3 linked regions of the Anolis sagrei genome follow. The protein of the gene in region 2 interacts with the protein of the main gene of each other region in a pairwise test. Links are inferred from orthologs where the notes say so. Each region holds a gene or a part of one and is shown on either strand. Other genes may lie near its edges. The genes, in order: RGS17, AQP1 and CEP44.

Region 1 (7,185 bases), on a different chromosome or scaffold from region 2:
CATAAACAGGTAGACCTTTAGTTGATTGCAGATACATCCAACATTGGGAGCCCACTTAATTTCAATAAGTAGATTCCACAAAACAAAAAAGGTCCTCCTCCATATCAAAACCAAATTAGCAACATGGTGTGATAAGCAATTCTCATAGAATCATAGAATCAAAGAGTTGGAAGAGACCTCATGGGCCATCCAGTCCAACCCCCTGCCAAGAAGCAGGAATATTGCATTCAAATCTCCCACTGAACATTGTCGTCATGCTAGTAAGTTTCTCTCTCATTTAAGTCTCTCTCTCTCTCTCTCTCTCTCTTGCCTTCATTTCTGATACAGTTTGAGAATGATGTCAACCAGGTTCCACCACATGATGTTTTCCCCATTCTGTCAGTAATCTGTTGAAATCCGTCTGCAAAGCATTGCAGAAATGGAGTATTTGCACACGGGATTATAGTTGTATTTGAAATACTGTGGAGTTTTCTTTCACTGAAGCATTGTTTTTTAATGTGATTGGGAAATCAATACACATATCATCAGCTACTATGCGACTTAAAATTTGGTGGACTGTCTGAGGGCAGAGTCTCCTGATCCTGGACTGTTCATGACTGAAGCAGCAGCCAGTTCTGTTTTGGGATGTCAAAGGAGAAAGACCTCTGGGATTAAGGAAATCGGGAATTACCACTTTACCTGAAGTAGTAACTGCAGCAAAGGAGCCATATCTAATGAATCAATAATCTATCATTTAGAAATCTGATAAGATTTGATTTCTCAGAACTCTTTCTCAGACTCATTAGAACTCCTTATTCCACACCAAAAGTAGCAATCAGGCAAATACATTTACTGCGCTGTCGCAACAATGTCTTCAAATCATGCAAGGGCAGTAATTCAAGATTTTGAGGCTACATCACTGCGCAGTTTTAGATTTTTTTAAAAGTCACATAGGACTTTTTCTGAATGGTTTTGAAGGAGACAGCCTTCCATGGTATGATGAGTCAAAGCGGAGTATTTCTGAAGGTAAAAATAGAAGTATTTCAGTGTAATGGGGTCAGTGCATGTTTCGTCTGACAACAGTATCAGGAAAAAGGTGATACATACTGATAAAAATGGATAATTAATTTTGGCAAAAAAAACCCCACTTCCATGTCAGGTTCACCTTAGGGACACAATAAGTCAGAAATGACTTAAGAATACACAACAAAGATGGAACAAGTAACCCTGAAATCGGCATGTCACCAACAAGATTCTAGCCTATATTTACACTGCATAGCGATAACAGTTTCATATAAGTTTAACTGCCATAATTCTTTCCTAGGGAACCTTGAGATTTATAGTTTGGTTTAGTATTCTCTCCTAGAGCTCTACTGATTTGCTGCCCTATTGTAAGGCAGGGAGGAGGCCATCTCAGACACTAAGCCAAGAAATAATGAATTATAAGTGGTGGCTTGTGTTAGCTTTTTATGATGACCTTTTTCATCATAATGATGTCCTTTTTCTGTTTTGTAGAATAAATTATATTTACTGATTTATAAAACATAATTGTAGGCTTGTTTAGGGGCCTGCTCAGAATTAGCTTTGTTTTATGAAGCTTTTAAAAATAAATGATAACATTTTATTAGCATGTTCGTAACACAGTGCTTCCAAATTAAATGGATTGCATTAAGATTTTTGCATAATTGTTTGGGAAAAAGTAATCACTCCTACTAAAGTTCTATTCGCTTTGTCTCCAAGTGCTGCCGTTGAATTTGGGGTCTCAAAGAAAGGCAGTAAATGCCAGTTGAATGCTTACTGTTGCCTTTTGCCAACAATAACAGAGATGTCTGGATTTTTCTGCAGACATTTCTGCAGGCATTTTTTGTTGCCCATGGATTCTAAAATACCTGCTATTTTGACTTAAGAAAAGAGAATGCACCCACATGGATTATAAAATGTTTGGTTGAGAGAGATATATGTGTCATCTCCTTGAAACACCTCACACACTTATGATATAGAGTGTGCCCTTGATACAGAAAGAGTATCTGTAATCCAGAATTCCAAAATCTAGAATCACAGCACCACAGTTCAAAAGCATCTATCTGCCTTCGCTCAGCCTTCCTTATGGTCCAGCTCTCACATCCTGTAGGTTGCTACGGAGAATACAATCTCTTTAACTATGTGGATCTTCGTTTCCAGTGTGATGTCTCTACTCTTCACTGCTTTATTGAATTTGGTCATTGCTCTCCTCCCAAGAAATATAAAAATAATGATAAATGTCTCCCTCTCGGCCTCCTCTTCTTAACAGAACTTGATCACTTATGAATGATCACAATGGACAGACCTCAGACTGTGACTTTGGATTTGATGTAATTTTAAATGGATGTTTTGTAAAGGATGTTTTAATAAATTGTTTTAATTGCAATTGTTATTATAATAGTTGTGTTTGGCATCTAATGGTTGCCGGTTGTGAGCTGCCCTGAGTCCCATCCCCCCTCCCCCAGGGGTGGGGTGAGAAGGAGGGGATAGAAATGTTTGAAATAAATAAATAAATATGAAACTGTGGGTAACCCTTTGGTGTGTAATGATAACGTGTTCCCATCGTGAAATACACCGCTTTGAAACACCTTTTCTTCGGGCCCTTCCACACAGCCCTATATCCCAGAATATCAAGGCAGAAAATTGCATATTATCTGAGTGTGGACTGAGATTTTTTTTTTTCATGTCAGGAGCAAGTCGCTTCTGGTGTGAGAGAATTGGCTGTCTGCAAGGATGTTGCCCAGGGGATGCCCAGATGTTTTGATGTTTCACCATCCTTGTGGGAGACTTCTCTCATGTCCCCACATGGGAAACTGGAGCTGACAGAGGGAGCTCATCCACACCCTCCCTGGATTCGAACCTGCAACCTGTTGGTCTTCAGTCGTGCTGGCACAAGGATTTAACCCATTGCATCACCGGGAGCTCCTGTGGACTCAGATAATTATTTATTTCATTTATTTATTGCATGCATTTCTACCTTCTCTCTCCCGAAGATAATCCAGTTCAAAGCAGATATTGTGGGATTTTCCGTCTTGATATTCTGAGATATAGCGCTGTATGGAAGGGCCCTGGGCTATCTGAGTCCACACTCAGGCCATGTGGGATTTCCTGCCTTGATATTCTGGGATATAGGGCTGTGTGGAAGGGTCCTTCTTCCGAGTGGCCAGCTGCCTGGGCAAACCCGAGCGTGTGTCTGCCGCAGTCCCTGTCCGAAGCAGAAACGTGGGGAGCCTGGAGGAGGAGGAGGACCACGAGGACAGGCCCGTAGCCAGGATTTCGATTGGGGGGGGGGGCTGAGTTTCGGGGGGGGGGCTGAGTCTAAGTGACAGAGGGTCTAGCCTAGCAAACCTTTTGATTCATTACCCCAATACCCTCATGCAAATGGGATATATTGAGTATGGTGATCAGATCATGATATGAATAAACATAACAGTTTAAATAATGCACCAGTAAGGCCTTTTCGCGAACCACCATGAGAATTTCGGGGGGGGGGGCTGAAGCCCCTCAAGCCCCCCCCCCCCCCCACATGCCTGCGCGAGGAGCACACGCGCCTCTCTCCCGCGAGACCCGGGGGCTTGGAAGGCCACCCTTGGCGCCTTAGCTGCCCCTCCAAAGCGGAACCCCTTCCGCCCCGTCCTCCTGGCCCTGGTGCTTCCCTCCCTCCAGGCGGCCTTCCTCCTTCCTCTCACCTGAGGGGCTTTGGGCGCCCCCTCCCCGCCCTCCCATCGACACAGGACGTGCCCCGGGTGTCTCTCGGCCTCCCGCTCCCACCCCTGCCCGCCCCCGCCTCCTTGGGCCTCCTCTCTAGCCCCCAGCCACCCGCTCCCTCCTTTCCTCGGAGTCTCCTCAGTCGCGGAGAAGGGAGGGGAGGGGGTCCTCCGTGAGTCACGCTGGGGAGAAGCGGGGAAACTCCAGCTGCTCCGCCGGGGCCAGCGCTGGGCCGAGAGGCGCATGCGCAGCCCGCCTCGCCGAAGCCTCTCCCCCCCCCCCCCGCCTTCCTTCCTTCCTCCCTCCCTTCCCTCCCTCCCTTCTCCCTCAATCTCGCTCTCTCTCTCTCTCGCTCTCTTTCCCTGCCGGCTGGGTGCTGAAGTTGGGCGGATGGCAGGCGAGCAGCAGCAGGAGCAGCTCCGTTAGCCGACCCGCGGCGCCCGCCTTCCTTTGCCTTGCCTTCCCCGTGGGCCTCCCTCCCCCGCGCCGGGAATCGTCCACGCGCAGGCAGCCAGGCGGGGGTGTGTGTGGGTAAGGCGGACCCTCCTCCCTTCCCCTTCCCCTTCCCCTTCCCCGCGCGGTCTCTCTCCCTCACGCCACCCGCGCCCTCCTCCTCCTCCTCCTTTCCCCGCATCCCTTGTCGTTGGCTTTCACTTCTTCCCAAGGCAGCAAACATGTCTGCTGTGGCAAAGAGAAAGGAATAGGCGCGAGGGGGGAAAAGATGGATGAGGGCAAGGCGGGGGACGGGCGGGGGGCAAGGCAGAGGGAGAAGAGACCCAAGGAGCGGGGAGGGCTTGCCAAAAGGAAGAGAGAGAGAAAGCGAGAGAGAGCGGGGGAGTAGAGGTGGGTGTTGCTTCTTGTCTCTGAAGATGGATGGAAGATAGAAGGAAGGAAGGAAGGAAGGAGGGAGAAGAGAGGAGAGGATGCGGGTGAGGGAGGCTCGGGGGGCGTCCGTGGCTTCCCCGCCGCCGAGGGAGCCCAATGCGTTTGCGCGCGTGTCCACGCCGCCGCCCCCCACCCGAGCCTCTCCCTCTCTCCCTCTCTCTCTCCCCCGCCCCGCCTTGCCTTTCAGCATCCTCCGCGGTGTGTGGAAAGTGTGTGGAAGACATGGCTGGGAGAGAGGGCTTCCCCGCGTCCTCTGCCTTCCGCCTGCCTCCTCCTCTGGGACGCTTCCCAGGAGAGAAGAAGCCACCGGGCCGGCTCCTTTCCCTCCCTTGTGCTGGCAAGGGAGGTGAGGTTCCCCTTGCCCTTTCCTCAGCAGAAAGGGGAACCTTCTTTTCTTCTGCAGTGCCTCCAGGGCTTCACCGGGTCCCCCTTCTCCTTTCTTCATCCAGTTGTAGAAGGAAGGGCATGGAGGTGCCAGAGAAAGGGTGCTTACAAAGCTCACAGAGCATCTCTTGGAAGGGCAGGGAAATGCCCAATCTCCCGCCAAGGGAATTCATCCTCAGTGGTATCTCTTGGAAAGGCAGGGAAGTGTCCAAGCTCTAGTCAAGGCAATTCATCCCAAGTTGCATCTCTTGGAAGGGCAGGGAAATGCACAGGCTCTGTACAAAGGGGATTCATCCCCAGTTGTATCTCTTGGAAGTGTCCAAGCTCCAGCCAAGGCAATTCATCCTCAGTTACATCTCCTAGAAGCAGGGCTGTAGCCAGAAAAAAATTTCGGGAGGGGTTGAAACTTCGGGGGGGGGGTTGAAATTTTGGGAGGGGGGTTGAAACCTGCCTCCTAGCTCACGCTGAAGCAAAGAGCACAGCAGGGGGCAGAGCAGCCTTCAATAGCCTGCAGCTCCGCCCTTGTCAACCACCTCCACCAAGTCTGGTCTCCTTAATGAGAGCATTCATCATCCCCCCCCCCCCCCCGCCAACTTGGTTGCTTCACTACTGTTCTGTCGCGCGCTGGGCCTGTAAATAATTGTCTTTAGAACAGGATGTGCAACCTTTGCCCAGCGGGAAGCCAGGGGGCCTAAAGAGAAGTTCTCAGAGGTTTCCATCACAAACAGTCTTTAGATGGCTTGAGAAGTACAACAAAGTATTTTACTAATGAACAATCAAACAGAAACTCCTCTTGTCTTCAGTAAAGTTAAGCAAATGATTCCAAGCTTTTAGGCAACTGGTGAATTCCTAATCTTGCCCACGAAGAACAGGCAACTGTCTTCAATAACTTCTTCTTTAAAGGAAAACCCCCTTTTTAACTTCTCCCAGGCTGACTGTAATCTAACCCTTACTGATGTGGGCTCCGCTACCGGGTCGAACTGCGTCTCAAACGTCGAGTGGACCTACCAGCAAGGCAGTAGATGTTCTCCAGCTAGAGTTCTTTGGTCTTTAGGGCTGTTTTCCTGGAAATTCTTTGGAGACTCTTAAGACCTTTCTCCCCTGGAAGGTCTTAAGGGTTGAAGCTTTTGTACAGGGGAAGCTTGCACACATCCTATACATAAGCTTACCTTGCTGAGACTAACTAAAAATGGCTCCCTTCCCAATTGCCCTGAGCAAGGGGCGGGACCAAAACTTAACAATGATGGACAGGTGACTTGCCCAATGACTGCAACCAAAGAAGCCACCTATCTGCAGAGTTCCTGAAACCTAGTGCCTAATACAAAGCAAATAAAGTTGGAGCTCCTGGTACAGCTGTACCAGAACAACTACATCGGCTATTGCTGCAAGTAATGACAGTGTGAATAAATTGCCAATATTTGCTTGAGATAGTGCTTGCAGTTCTGGAGGGACTCTTAATTTTTTGCATCTCATAGACTTAGCATGGGGATTTGGTTAACCAGTTAAAATTCATGAGTAAACCAGGTTTTTTAAAAAAAATCTGAAACATTTCGGGGGGGGGGGTTGAACCCCTAACCCCCCCCCCCCCCTCGCTACAGGCCTGCCTAGAAGGGCAGGGAAATGCCCAGCTTCTCTCTAAGGGAATTCATCCCCAGTTGCTTCTTGTCTCTGAGGATGGATGGAATAAGGAAGGAAGGGCAGGGAAGTGTCCAAGCTCAAACCAAGGCAATTCATCTCCAGTTGCATCTCCTGGAAAGGCAGGGAAATGCCCACTCTCTGTCCAAGGGGATTCATCCCCAGTTGTATCTCTTGGAAGGGCAGGGAAGTGGCCAAGGTCTAGTCAAGGCAATTAATCCCCAGTTGCATCTCTCTGTCCAAGGGGATTCATCCTCAGTTGTATCTCTTGGAGGGCAGGAAAGTGTCCTAGCTCTAGACAAGGCAATTCATCCCAAGTTGCATCTTCTGGAAGGGCAAGGAAATGCCCAGTCTCTATCCAAGGGAATTCATCCCCAGTTGTATTTCTTGGAAGGGCAGGGAAGTGTCCAAGCTCAAGTGAAGGCAATTCATCCTCAGTTACATCTCCTGGAAAGGCAGGGAAATACCCAGTCTCTGTCCAAGGGAATTCATCCTCAGTTGTATCTCTTGGAAGGGCAAGGAAATGTCCAATCTCTAACCTTCAGTTGCAGAAGGAGTGGAATGTGTTGTCTT
Region 2 (7,016 bases):
GAGCACCACCACCCCAGAGTCGGACATGACTAGACGTAATATCAGGGGAAAACCTTTACCTTTACCTTCCCTTTCATAGAATCATAGAATCAAAGAGTTGGAAGAGATCTCATGGGCCATCCAGTCCAACCCCATTCTGCCAAGAAGCAGGAATATTGCATTCAAATCACCCCTGACAGATGGCCATCCAGCCTCTGTTTAAAACCTTCCAAAGAAGGAGCCTCCACAACACTCCAGGGCAGAGAGTTCCACTGCTGAACGGCTCTCACAGTCAGGAAGTTCTTCCTCATGTTCAGATGGAATCTCCTCTCTTGTAGTTTGAAGCCATTGTTCCATTGCGTCCTAGTCTCCAGGGAAGCGGAAAACAAGCTTGCTCCCTCCTTCCTGTGGCTTCCTCTCACATATTTATACATGGCTATCATATCTCCTCTCAGCCTTCTCTTCTTCAGGCTAAACATGCCCAGCTCCTTAAGCCACTCCTCATAGGGCTTGTTCTCCTGACCCTTGATCATTTAAGTCGCCCTCCTCTGGACACATTCTAGCTTTGCTAACACAAGCGACAACACAGAGAAAATAATTTTAGTACAGTTGCCAACTTTTATGTGAAAGGGGCTATTGTGCCATTAATAGCACAAATTTTAGTTGGAGTGACCAGCTGCAAAAGGGTTCGAGGCTCCTCTGCTTATAAACATTTGTCATTCCTAAATTAGAAGAAATAATTTCCCAAATCCCTCCTTCTAGAAATCAATGAAAAGACCCCTACAGCCCTAGTATCTTTGGCACCTTTGCCTAATAATAAAGCATCATTAAAAGCACAGAAGCCTGATTGGAGAAGAAAACATCAATACAGCCTCTTTCCAACTTGTGCATCTCTTTTTGCCTTGGCTAAACGAGAGCACAGAGCTTCTCTCCTCTTCCTTTGGAGTTAATTTTAATGATATTGAACGGTCAAAGGATGGATTTTCCACCTCAATGAGCTGAAAGTCATGCCCCAGGTTAATTGGAGAAGATGATCTCCATTAACAGCTTCATCATGTTTGGAGGCTCTCAACCTTCCTAATGCTGTGACCCCTAAATACAGTTCCTCATGTTGTGGTGACCCCCAACCATAACATTATTTTCATTGCTACTTCACAACTGTAATTTTGCTACTGATATGAATCTCAATGTAAATATCAGATATGCAGGATGTCTTTTCATTCACTGGACCAAATTTGGCACAAATACCCAATATGTCCAAATTTGAATACTAGTGGGGTTCCGTGAGGGGGTTGATCTTGTTATTTGGGAGTTGCAGTTGCTGGGATTTATAGTTCACCTACAATCAGAGAACACTTTGAACTCCACCAATGTTAAAATTGAACCAAATTTGGCACACAGAACTGCCGTAACTAACTGAAAATACTCGAAGGGTCTCCTGGGCATTGACCTTTGGTTGTGGAGTTGTAGTTCACCAATATCCAGAGAACACTGTGGACTCAAACAATGATGGATCTGGACCAAACTTGGCATAGATACTCAATATGCCCAAATGTGAACACTGATAGTTTGTGGGAAATAGAGTTTGACGTTTGGGAGTTGTAGTTGCTGGGATTTATAGTTCACTTACAATCAAAGAGCATTCTGAACCCTACCAACAATAGAATTAGGCAAAACTTCCCACACAGAACTCCCATAACCAACAGAAAATACTGGAAAAGTTTGGTGGGCATTGACATTGAGTTTTGAAGTTGTAGTTCACCTACATCCAGATTGCACGGTGGACTCAAACAATGATAGATCTGGACCAAACTTGGCACAAATACTCAATATACCCAAATGTGAACACTGGTGGAGCATTCTGAACCCCAATGACCAACAGAAAATACAGTGTTTCCAAACAATGATGGATCTGGACCAAACTTGGCACAAATACTCAATATACCCAAATGTGAACACTGGTGGAGTTTGGGGAAAATAGAGTTTGACATTTGGGAGTTGCAGTTGCTGGGATTTATAGTTCACCTACAATCAAAGAGCATTCTGAACCCCAATGACCAACAGAAAATACTGAACCTTCTCTTCGTGACCCTCCCCAGGGGTCCCAATCCGCAGGTTGGGAAACACTGCTATGGTTGGTAGTTGTCCAACTTTTTTGTGATGAAGGAAAGAGTAGATAAACTTACCTGGTTGAGGCCAAGGGAGTTGCCTGGCAGCGACGAAGTGATGCCCGAAAGGATGGCGGTGGCCACCACAGCCCCGAGGCACTGGGCGATAATGTACATGACGGCCCGCAAGATGCTGATCTGGCAACTGAGCAGGAGGCCCAAGGTGACAGCTGGGTTCAAGTGGGCTCCGCTGATGTGGCCCACGCTCTGGGCCATGGTGGCGATGGAGATCCCGAAGGCCAAGGAGACCTTCACGTTGTCCTGCACTGGCGTGGTGGTCTTGTTCTCCGACACGGGGAACTGGAACCCCAAGGCCGCCCCGATGCTGATGAAGATGAAGAGGCTCATGGCGAAGAACTCGGCCACCACGGCCCGCCAGAACATCTTCTTCTTGAATTCGCTGGCCATCTCGGCTACCTTGTCTTCTCCTTCTTCTTCCTCAACCCTTCTTCTTTCTTCAGCCTCCTTCTGCCCTCTGCCTCTCCAACCCTTTGCCAACTCAACAGGCTTCCTCGCTGGAAGGAAGGAGTCTGAAGAGGCAACGAGGAGAGTCGATTATTTATAGGGCTTTGGGTGGTCTGGAGGAGGGAAGAGGAAAGAACATCGGGATGCTGACTGTTAGACTGATGTAAGGCACCGTTCTCCGTTGCCTGCCAATTTCTTAACCCCCCCCCCCTTTTCCTTTCCTCCTTCACCAGCTTCCCTCCCCCTAACAGCAACCACTCCTTTCTCTTCCTTTGCAAACTCTGATCTTTGCTGCTGTTTTGTCGTTCTTAAAGGCATTTAAAGAAAAGAGTGATCCAGAAGGCTGCCTGCCTGCTTGCCTGCCTTGGGCATTGCCAGCATCTTTCTCCCCTTCCCTCTCCAACAGTTGCAAAATTAAGCTGAAGGGAAGCTTTTGGAAGGCGTCTCTCCTTTTCGCCCACTTTTCACCTTCTCTCTTTATCTCTCTGGACTCTCTTGACATGCTTGAGTGCCTTTTAGTCTTCTCTTTCCGTGAATAAGGAGGGAAAGCAAACTAAATCAGGAGATTTGGTTATTTGTAAGTTTTTTGGGCTGTATGGCCATGTTCCAGAAGCATTCTCTCCTGATGATTTGCCTGCATCTGTGGCAGGAGTCCTCAGAGGTTGTGAGGTCTGCTGGAAACTAAGAAAATGGGGTTAATATTCTCCTGTTTTAATGTTTTGTTGAAGGATTTCATGGCCAGAATCACTGGGTTGCTGTAAGTTTTTCGGGCTGTATGGCCGTGTTCCAGTGAAGGGAACTCCTGCCACAGATGCAAGCAAATCATCAGGAGAGAATGCTTCTAGAACATGGCCATACAGCCCAAAAAACTTACAGCAACCCAGTGATTCTGGCTATGAAATCCTTCAACAAAACATTAAAACAGGAGAATATTAACCCCATTTTCTTAGTTTCCAACGTCACCAGAAGCATTCTCTCCTGATGTTTCACCTGCATCTGTAGCAGGCATCCTCAGAGGTACTTGTGAGGTCTGCTGGAAACTAAGGAAATGGGGTTTATATTCTCCTATTTTAATGTATTGTCGAAGGATTTCATGGCCAGAATCACTGGGTTGCTGTAAGTTTTTCGGGCTGTATGGCCATGTTCCAGAAGCATCCTCTCCTGATGTTTCACCTGCATCTGTGGCAGGAGTTCTCAGAGGTTGTGAGGTCTGATGGAAACTAAGAAAATTGGGTTTAAATTCTCCTGTTTTAATTGTATTGTCGAAGGATTTCATGGCCAGAATAACTGGGTTGCTGTAAGTTTTTCGGGCTGTATGACCATGTTCCAGAAGCATCCTCTCCTGATGTTTCACCTGCATCTATGGCAGGAGTCCTCAGAGGTTGTGAAGTCTGATGGAAACTAAGAAAATTGGGTTTAAATTCTCCTGTTTTAATTGTATTGTCAAAGGATTTCATGGCCAGAATAACTGGGTTACTGTAAGTTTTTCGGGCTGTATGGCCATGTTCCAGAAGCATTCTCTCCTGATGTTTTGCCTGCATCTATGGCAGGAGTCCTCAGAGGTTGTGAGGTCTGCTGGAAACTAAGAAAATGGGGTTTATATTCTCCTGTTTTAATATATTGTCGAAGGATTTCATGGTCAGGATCACTAGGTTTCTGTAAGTTTTTCGGGCTGTATGGCCATGTTCCAGAAGCATTCTCTCCTGATCATAGAATCATGGAATCATAGAATCAAAGAGTTGGAAGAGACCTCATGGGCCATGCAGTCCAACCCCCTGCCAAGAAGCAGATATATTGCATTCAAATCACCCCTGACAGATGGCCATCCAGCCTCTGTTTAAAAGCTCCCAAAAAAGGAGCCTCCACCACACTCCGGGGCAGAGAGTTCCACTGCTGAACGGCTCTCACAGTCAGGAAGTTCTTCCTAATGTTCAGATGGAATCTCCTCTCTTGTAGTTTGAAGCCATTGTTCCGCATCCTAGTCTCCAAGGAAGCAGAAAACAAGCTTGCTCCCTCCTCCTCCATGTGGCTTCCTCTCACATATTTATACATGGCTATCATATCTCCTCTCAGCCTTCTCTTCTTCAGGCTAAACATGCCCAGCTCTTTAAGCCGCTCCTCATAGGGCTTGTTCCTCAGACCCTTGATCATTTTAGTCGCCCTCCTCTGGACACATTCCAGCTTGTCAATATCTTTCCTGCATCTGTAGCAGGCATCCTCAGAGGTTGTGAGGTCTGTAGGAAACTAGGAAAATAGTGTTTATATATCTGTGAAATAATGTCCAGGGTGGGAGAAAGAACTCTTGTCTGTTGGAGGTAGGTCTGAATGCTTCATTCAGCCACTTTGATTAGCATTTAACGGCCTAGCAGTTTCAAGCTGTGACTTCTTATTGCCTGGGGAATCCTTTGTTGGGAGGTGATTAGCATTCTCTCCTGATGTTTCGCCTGCATCTGTGGCAGGCATCCTCAGAGGTTGTGAGGTCTGTTGGAAACTAGGAAAATAGGATTTATATATCTGTGGAATAATGTCCAAGGTGGGAGAAAGAACACTTGTCTGTTGGAGCTAGATGTGAATGATTCAATTGGCCACCTTGATTAGCATTTAATGGCCTAGCAGTTTCAAGCTGTGACTTCTTACTGCGTGGGGGAATCCTTTGTTTAGAGGTGATTAGTTGTCCCTGATTGTTTCTTGTCTGGAGTTCCCCTGTGTTTGAATGTTGTCCTTTATTTACTGACTTGATTCTGGTGTTTTTTAATACTGGTAGCCAGATTTTGTTCATTTTCATGATTTTCTCCTTTCTGTTGAAATTGTCCACATGCTTGTGGAGTTCAGCGCCTTCTCTGTGTAGTCTGACATGGTGGTTGTTAGAGTGGTCCAGCATTTCCATGTTCTCAAATAATATGCTGTGTCCAGGTTGGTTCTCCGGAACTCCATCAGGTCTTCACTCAGCTGTCTTCTCATGGGGACAGACAATATTCTCCCGCCAGGGACATTCCACCCCATTTTTCTAGTTTCCAACAGACCTCACTACCTCTGAGGATGCTTGCCATAGATGCAGGTGAAACGTCAGGAGAGAATGCTTCTAGAAAATGGCCATACAGCCAGAAAAACTCACAACAACCTAGTGATTCCAGCCATGAAAGCCTTCAACAATACATTAAATCAGGAGAATTGCCTATAGAAGACCAGCAAGAAGACCAAACTTGAGAGGAATTATCCCAGGTGCTGAAACGTATTTGAGATCAGCACCTTGGAAAAGTCCTTTAAAGTGGAGAAAAACCTAGAGCAGATTCAGACATAGGGGGTTGAATGAAAAGTAATGCCTTCACCTTCATAACTCCTCAACAGGTGGCAGTACTGGTACACGGCAGGTACTGGCTTGTTCAGTAGACTCTCCTCTACAGTTCCATTTTGATCGGAAGCCTTAGCATTCAACGGTTGTATTTTAAAGTGTGAAGTATGGAACCCTGCGCAGACGGTCGGTCAATGCGACTTAAGCAACATGCAGTCATTGAATTCTCGACAGCAGAAGGTGTCATCCCAAAGGAGATTCATCAGAGAATGCAAGCAGTTTATTGTGATTGTGTTGATGTGAGTATTCTGCATTGTTGGGCGAGTAAGTTTAAAGATGTTGAGGTGGGAACATTTGACTTGCGTGACAAACAAAGAGATGGAACCACAATGCCAGGGAGATGTTGGCTCTAAGCTGGAATGTGTCCAGAGGAGAGTGACTCAAATAATCAAGGGTCTGGAGAACAAGCCCTATGAGGAGTGGCTTAAAGAACTGGGCATGTTTAGTCTGCAGAAGAAAAGGCGGAGAAGAGACATGATGAGGACCATGGATCAAGATGTGAAGAGAAGTCACAGCAAGGAGGGAGCAGGCTTGTTTTCTCCTGCCCTGGATACTAGGACTCAATTGAACAATGGCTTCAAACAACAGGAAAGGAGATTCCATCTGAACATTAGGAAGAACTTTCTGACTGTGACAGCTGTTCAGCAGTGGAACTCTCTGCCCAGAAGTGTAGTGGAGGCTTCTTCTTTGGAAGCTTTTCAGCAGAGGCTGGATGGCCATCTGTCAAGAGTGCTTTGAATGTGATTTTCCTGCTTCTTGGCAAAATGGACTTGGACTGGGTGGCCCATGAGATCTCTTCCAACTCTATGATTCTATGGCTACCTTAAAAATGGAAATGTAGAACAGAGAGGAATTGACCAATGTGTGGAATGTGATAATGTTGTCGGTAGGAAATGCCACATGAACCCTTCTCAAACAAGAAGGAGTGGCCTGCTCTAGCATGAACGCATTTTGAGATTCGCCAATCTGGTGCCGTGACTGAGAATGTGACCTGAAAGGACCCAAGGTTCATCTGCGCCCAATGGAATGAATGAAGTGCTATATAAACATCT
Region 3 (7,686 bases), on a different chromosome or scaffold from region 2:
AAATATATTAAATATGCTACTAGTAATATATAATCACATACAATGACAATACCGTTTTATTATTGTATATTGGTATATTTGAAATTGTAACATTTTTCATTTTGAGTCTCTGGCCCCTTCCACACAGTTGAATAAAATCCCCCATTATCCGCTTTGAACTGGAATAAATGGCAGTGTAGACTCAGATAATCTAGGGCCCTTCCATACAGCCCCATTATCCCAGAATATCACGGCAGAAAATCCCACAGTATCTGCTTTGAACTAGGTTATCTGAGTCCACACTCAGATACTGTGGGATTTTCTGCCTTGATATTCTGGGATACAGGGCTGTGTCGAAGGGCCCCTAGTTCAAAGCAGATAGTAATAATAATACAATATTATAATTATTATGCCCCCGCTGGCGCAGTGGGTTAAAGGCCTGTGCCGGCAGGACTGAAGACTGACAGGTCGCAGGTTCAAATCCGGGGAGAGGCGGATGAGCTCCCTCTATCAGCTCCAGCTCCTCGTGTGGGGACATGAGAGAAGCCTCCCACAAGGATGATAAAACATCAAATCATCCTGGCGTCCCCTGGGCAACATCCTTGCAGACAGCCAATTCTCTCACAACAGGAGCGGTCGCTCCTGACACGACAAAAAAAAATTAGAATTATATATTTACATTACATGTAATATTACTAATAATATTACAATATAATGGTATAGTACAATATAGTAATATATAATACTGATATTTTACTATGCTAATAATATAATATATTGTATGAAAATATATATTGTAAGGCGCTCTGAGTCCCCTTTGGGGTGAGAAGGGCGGCATATAGATGCCGTAAATAAATAAATAAATGTATTGTCGAAGGCTTTCATGGCTGGAATCACTAGGTTCTTGTAGGTTTTTTTCGGGCTATAGGGCCATGTTCTAGAGGCATTTCTCCTGACGTTTCACCTGCATCTATGGCAAGCATCCCCAGAGGTAGTGAGGTCTGTTGGAAATAGGACAATGGGTTTATATATCTGTGGAATGACTGGGGTGGGGCAAAGAGCTCTCTGCTGAAGCTAGGTGTGAATGTTTCAACTGACCACCTTCATTAGCATTTGAAGGCCTGCCTGAGCCTGGGAAAATGTTCTGTTGAGCGGTGTTAAGATGTGCCTGGTTGTTTCCTCTCTGCTGTTTTGCTGTTGTAATTTTAGAGTTTTTTTAATACTGGTAGCCAGATTTTGTTCATTTTCATGGTCTCCTCCTTTCTGTAGACTCCTGCAGAGGTGAGAGGACCCCTCTTGTCCTTTGCTGAACGTAGCATTTGTTGGATTTTCTTGGTGGGTTTGTAGATTGTTTGTATGTTATGTTTCCTCAGCTGGTAAGCTGGAGCACCTGATGAACCAGCCTGGAATAAATAAATATTTTGGGATTTTCTGCCTTGATATTTTGGGGTCCCTTCCACACAGTGGAATAAAATCCCACATTATCTGCTTTGAACTGGGTTATATGGCAGTGTGGACTCGGATAATCCAATTCAAAGCAGATACTGTGGGACTTTCTGCCTTGATATTCTGGGATGTAAAGCTGTATGGAAGGGCACTTATCAAGTCTTCAGTCCTGCCGGCACAGGCCTTTAACCCACTGCGCCAGCGGGGGCATAATAATTATAATATTGTATTATTACTACTATCTGTTTTGAACTAGGGGCCCTTCCACACAGCCCTATATCCCAGAATATCAAGGCAGAAAATCCCACAGTATCTGAGTGTGAACTCAGATAACCTAGTTCAAAGCAGATACTGTGGGACTTTCTGCCTTGATATTCTGGGATGTAGCGCTGTATGGAAGGGCACTTATCAAGGTAGAAAATCCCACAATATCTGCTTTAAACTGAGTCCACACTACCATATATTCCAGTTCAAAGAAGATATTATGGGGTTTTATTCAGCTGTGTGGAAGGGGCTTAAGTATAGAGAGATAAAGCGGAATATAAATAAATAAACAAAATAAAATCTCTATGAATTTCACAGTCTTCCTAGGCAAGGGATACATTGAGATGGGCTGCTCTGAAATATAGCCCACAGCGCCTGGTATTCCTTGGCGGTCTCCCACCCAAGCGCTCACCAGGGTCGACCCTGCTTAGCTTCCAAGACCAAACGGCTCCCGCTGCCTCCAGGCTGCTGAGGCGAGAAGAGAAAACGCGCTTTACCTGTCCGAAATTGAGTCCCAACCGCCGCCGCGACGAGTGCTGTGCCAGTCAGTGCCCAAGCTTGACAAGGAGGGTCTGGGGAGATGCGGAGGCGCTGGCGAAGCCCTGGCGAAGCGCTCGTGTCCCGCCCCAAACCGCGAGCGGCCAAAGGTGGAAGTTCCCTGCTGGAGCTCTTGAGGTTGCCGTGTATGTTGTTACCGGAAGTGACGCTCCCCTCCTCGTCCGTCGCGGAAAGCAACAGCCGATTCGCCTTCGCAGATTCCGCTGTCAATTTGAGGAGGCTTAAGCGTCCTAGGATATACTATCAGATTTTAATTTTTTAATAGCGGTGGGCCGAGCTGAGTTAAAGGTAGCTCTCCGCATAACTGAGCGTTGTTCTCAAAAAAAAATTTTTTGACAAGCGAGTGAGGTTTGACGAATCTGCCGATTGGGAAACGCCGGATGGTTTCGATTTCCCGCGGGAGAGCTCAAAACAGCTGCTCCGTCTGGGAGATAAGAGCTGTGCCTTCCCTCCGTGTGTGGAAGGGCCCCTGCCATTCCGCTGCACAGAACCTCACACTTTCTGCTTTGAACTGGAATATATGGCAGTGTGGACTCAGGACCCTTCCACACAGCCCTATATCCCAGAATACCAAGGCAGGAAATCCCACAAACTGAGTTATCTGAGTCCAAACTCAGATAATATGGAATTTTCTGCCTTGATATTCTGGGATATAGGGCTGTGGGGAAGGCCCCTGAGTCCATACTGCAATACATTCCATTTTATCTGAGTTTGGAGTCAGATAACCCAGTTTAAAGTAGATACTGTGGGATTTTCTGCCTTGATATTCTGGGTTATATGGCTGCGTGGAAGGCCCCTCAGGGTCCTTCCACACAGACATATAACCCAGAATATCAAGGCAGAAAATCCCACAGTATCTGCTTTGAACTGGGTTATCTGAGTCCAGCCCACGCTGCCAGTTCAAAAAAGATAATGTGGGATTTTATTCAGATGTGTGGGAGGCCACAGCCCCTCCCTAACAGGATCTGATCCCAAGTTTTCTGTTTTAAACTGGATTATATGAGTCCGCATTGCCAGATAATCTGGGATAAACTGAAAACCTGGGATCAGATCCTGGAATATAAGGCCTGTCTGGAAGGGCCCTGAGGTCCCTTCCCCACAGCTGAATAAAATCCCACGTTATCTGCTTTGAACTGGGATATATGGCAGTGTGGATTCAGATAAGGAAAGAATAGTTAGAGGATTTTTTTTAAAAAATGCACAAAAACTCTTGAACACAACTGTCGCTGTGATTCAGCACTGGCTTGATACTCAGGGCCCTTCTACACAGTCCCTATATGCCAGGATCTGATCCCAGGTTTTCTGCTTTAAACTGGATTATAAGAGTTCGCACTGCCAGATAATCTGGGATAAACAGAAAACCTGGGATCAGATCCTGGGATATAGGGACTGTGTGGAAAGACCCTCAGAGGTCTATAAACAGCTCACAGCCTGCGTAAGGGCTGAGTGTGGACTCAGATAATCCAGTTGAAAGCAAATATTGTGGGATTTTGTTCCTTTATATTCTAGGTTATATGACTGTGGAAGGGTCCTCAGACAGGACCTATATCCCAGAATCTGACCCCAGGTTTTTTTTTTTTGCTTTAATCTGGATTATATAAATCCACACTGTTGGATAATCTGGGATAAACAGAAAATCTAGCTTCAGATCCTGGGATATAGGGCCTGTCTGAAAAGGGCCTCAGGGACCTTCCACCAAGCCATAGAACCCAGAATATCAGGGCAGAAAATCGCACAATATCTGCTTTGAACTGGGTTATCTGAGTCCACACTCAGATGTGGGATTTCCTGCCTTGATATTCTGGGATATAGGTCTGTGTGGAAGAACCCTGGTTTATCTGAGTCCACACTGCCATATATTCCAGTTCAAAGCAGAAAATGTGGGATTTTATTCAGCTGTGTGGAAGGGGGCACAGAGGGAAGGAATAATACATTAAACTACACAGCTGTAAAACTAATGATCCAGATAATATATAAAACATATGCCTTAGGAAAAAAATATCTGATCAATACATGTAATCAAAATTATTAAACAAGGTCACACTAAAATTCCAACAAAACTTTAGATCTCCTTAACTGGTGAGCCTTTAAGGCCTTTAGCAACTTTATAAATATGCATTTACCTACATAATTAAACTGATTGGTCGCATTTATTTGTGATTTATGCCCAGTATAAGCTTGAATAATATGCATTATATTCCTGTAGTTTTTGAAATTAATATCTATCAGCCACATCAAACTTTCTTCCTTCCCAACTGTCCTTAAATGCTGGGGGCATGTGAATGAAACCTGCTCAAATCTCGGCAGAGGAAGATTTCTCGCGAGACCTCCGTGCTTTATACTCTCCCGTCCCCAAAGAATCTATGGAAGTCTCGCGATGATACGGCAAGCAACCATCGCGAGAAAGGTTTGAGTGTCGAGCGCGCCGTTCGACCCGCCGGAGGCAAGGTAGTTGAGGTGTTGTTTTGATGGGGCTCGCGTCTGTCAGTCAGGGAGTGAGTGAGTGATTCGGTGTTTGGTATGTAAAAGATGATGTGCTGTGTGCCAAATGCTCGGTGATGGCTGTGGCAGGGGCTTGCTGTCGTTAAATCTAGAAATACTGGATTCGGAGAGCCTTGTATTCCTGTCTCGCCATATGAGACGCCGGGGAACACAAACAAGACCTCCCTGTTTTCCCCGCCGGCCCATCTGTGTTCTTTGGGGCGTAATATAATAATAATAACACTTTATTTATATTCCGCCCTAATCCCAGAGGGGACTCAGAGCAGATTGCGCATATAAACAGACACAGGCAAACATTCAATATCTTGTTACAAAGAAATACAATGACACAAATACAGAGGCAAAGGCTTCTCCTTTCATTTCCGGCTCTGGAGGTGGTGCTCATCTCCGGCTCTGTGGGAGGTGCTTATCTCAATTTCCAAGCTATTTATTTATTTATCCTGTCAGTATTACATTGTATTACATTTTTAACAAACAGACAAAACAGAGTTTGCAAGCCGAGGAGTCTGCATTGTCCGTAGACACATCCTGGTCGTGTGGCTGGCATGACTGCATGGAGTGTCATTGCCTTTCCTGCTAGGTTGGCAGGAACTAGGGCTCACCCTGCCCCACGTATTCGAACTGCCAACCTTCAGATTAGTTCAGCAGCACTAGGTTTGCACAGATCATGATGATAAGGTTTGGTATTAATGTTAGGAGTGTAGACTCATATGATGGAGCTTATGGAAGAAACAGGAGCATTTATTCTTCTCCATTGTGTATTCTTCTCTATTATGTACTGGGGATCACAACCAGACACAGTGAAGACATCTGCCCTTGCACTATGCTACTCTGCTGCTGAGTATGTATGCCCAGTGTGGAACACATCTCACCACGCTAAAACAATAGATGTGGCTCTTAATGAGACATGCCGCATTATCACGGGGTGTCTGCGCCTTACACCACTGGAGTAATTACACTGTTTAGCCGGTATTGCACCACCTGACATCCGCCGGGAAGTAGCAACCAATAGTGAAAGGACCAAGGCAGTGACATCTCCAGCTCATTCCCTGTTTGGATATCAGCCAGCACGTCAACGACTTAAATCAAGAAATCGTTTTCTAAGATCTACAGAGACACTCGCTGGAATACCTCAGCAAGTGAGAATCCAAAAGTGGCAGGCTCAAACCCAGCACCTCAATCCATGGGTGATACCAGATGAGAGACTCCCCCCTGGGCACACAGAAAACTGAGCGACTTGGAAGATGCTGAACAGACTGTGCTCTGGCACCACGAGATGCAGAGCCAATCTTAAGAAATGGGGCTACAAAGTATGGAGAAGAGCAAACTACAGACCACCTCCTGCAATGCAACCTGAGCCCTGCCACATGCACGATGGAGGACCTTCTTGCAGCAACACCAGAGGCACTCCAAGTGGCCAGCTACTGGTCAAAGGACTTTTAATCAACTACCAAGCTTGCAAACTTTGTGGTTTGTTTGTTTGTTAAAAAATGCAATGCAACTGTTTGGTCTGCCCCTTACACGATAAATATGTTTGGTCTGCCCCTTACACAAATATAAATATGTATTATCTCAGATCCCAAGGATAAGAAAGTAGCTAAGTAGAAATAGGCTTAGATTGGCAGCTATTGGCAGCTATTTAGAGACTTTCCAGTGAATAGCATATGACAGGTTAATCACAGAAAAGAGACAGGCTGGCAGTGGCATAACATGGTGTTGTAGGATGGGGATCATCACCTGGCTTCAATGTCAGTTTGCCTTCCTTAAGTGATAAAGTTTCCTATTATTTTCTCTCCTTAAAACTGTATCAATTTGTGGTTAGAGCATTTGACTAGTACTCCGGAGACCCGGGTTTGAATCCCTCCTTTGGCCATGGAAGTCCAATGAGGCAAAGTCACACTCAGCCCTAGAAATCACAACACATAACAACCACAAATGTGTAGACCTGCCATGGAGAAGTGGATAAATACCATATTATCCTTTGTGTTTTGAAGCAAGAAACACCAACCCTTTGGACAGTACTAATTAAGGGTGCTTCTACATTGATAATGCAGTTTGATGCCACTTTAATTGCCATAGTTCGATGCGATAGAATCCTGGAAGTTGTAGTTTTCTGAGGCCTTTTTCCTGTTCTCACCAAGCTGCAGCTCTCAGGATTCCATATCCTTGAGCCATGGCAGTTTACAGGCCCTTCTACACAGCCATATAATACCCAGAGTATCTGCTTTCAACTGGATTATCTGGCAGCATAGACTCAGTTAATCCAGCTCAGAGCAGTTAATGTGGATTATATGATTTGATAACCTGGATTGTTTGGCAGTATAGAAGGGGCTTTCGTAGCGCCAATCTGCATTAACTCTACAGTACATGAACCTGTTGTTGTCTTAGGAGTATATTTTTAGAGGTAGCCAACGAGGCCTTACAGGAAAACAAGGTCTAAATAGCAATGCTTTCATTGCTTTAGAAAGCCTTTGGTTTTTTTTTAGAAAGTCCTCCCACCGAGGGCCCTTCCAGACAGGATCTGATCCCAGATTTTCTGCTTTAAACTGGATTTTATGAGGGCTCTTCCAGACAGGCCCTATATACAGAAGAGTCTCGCTTATCCAACCTTCACTCATCCAACATTCTGTATTATCCAACAGTCTGCTTCCTGCCTGGATTCACAGCTGTTTCAATACATTGCAATGTTTTCGTGCTAACTTAGTAAATATGATCATTATTACATAACGTTGCCATGTATTGAACTGCTTTCTCTGTCAATTTGTTGTAAAACACGATGTTTGGGTGCTTAATTTGTAAAATAACGTAATTTGATGTTTAATAGGCTTTTCCATATTATCCAACATTTTTGCTTATCCAACATTATGCTGGCCTTTTTATGTTGGATAAGATGTACCAGGATCTGATCCCAGGTTTTCTGCATATCCCAGATTATCT

What was found.
Region 1: the proteins of AQP1 (region 2) and RGS17 interact in binary tests that used the Homo sapiens proteins (3 or more experiments, as listed by UniProt). The two-hybrid records come from large-scale screens. The link is inferred for Anolis sagrei from reciprocal best matches to the Homo sapiens genes AQP1 and RGS17.
Region 3: the proteins of AQP1 (region 2) and CEP44 interact in binary tests that used the Homo sapiens proteins (3 or more experiments, as listed by UniProt). The link is inferred for Anolis sagrei from reciprocal best matches to the Homo sapiens genes AQP1 and CEP44.

The regions. Positions count from the first base shown.
Region 1 is NC_090021.1:71,470,113-71,477,297, forward strand, and holds the start of RGS17 (regulator of G-protein signaling 17), read left to right. Parts: upstream 1-4,155; 5' UTR 4,156-4,239; intron 4,240-7,185. UniProt on the Homo sapiens protein: Regulates G protein-coupled receptor signaling cascades, including signaling via muscarinic acetylcholine receptor CHRM2 and dopamine receptor DRD2.
Region 2 is NC_090026.1:126,034,832-126,041,847, reverse strand, and holds the start of AQP1 (aquaporin-1), read right to left. Parts: upstream 3,033-7,016; 5' UTR 2,556-3,032; coding exon 2,166-2,555; intron 1-2,165. UniProt on the Homo sapiens protein: Forms a water channel that facilitates the transport of water across cell membranes, playing a crucial role in water homeostasis in various tissues.
Region 3 is NC_090025.1:61,099,518-61,107,203, forward strand, and holds the start of CEP44 (centrosomal protein of 44 kDa), read left to right. Parts: upstream 1-4,594; 5' UTR 4,595-4,695; intron 4,696-4,714; exon of another isoform or gene 4,715-4,765; intron 4,766-7,686. UniProt on the Homo sapiens protein: Centriole-enriched microtubule-binding protein involved in centriole biogenesis. In collaboration with CEP295 and POC1B, is required for the centriole-to-centrosome conversion by ensuring the formation of bona fide centriole wall.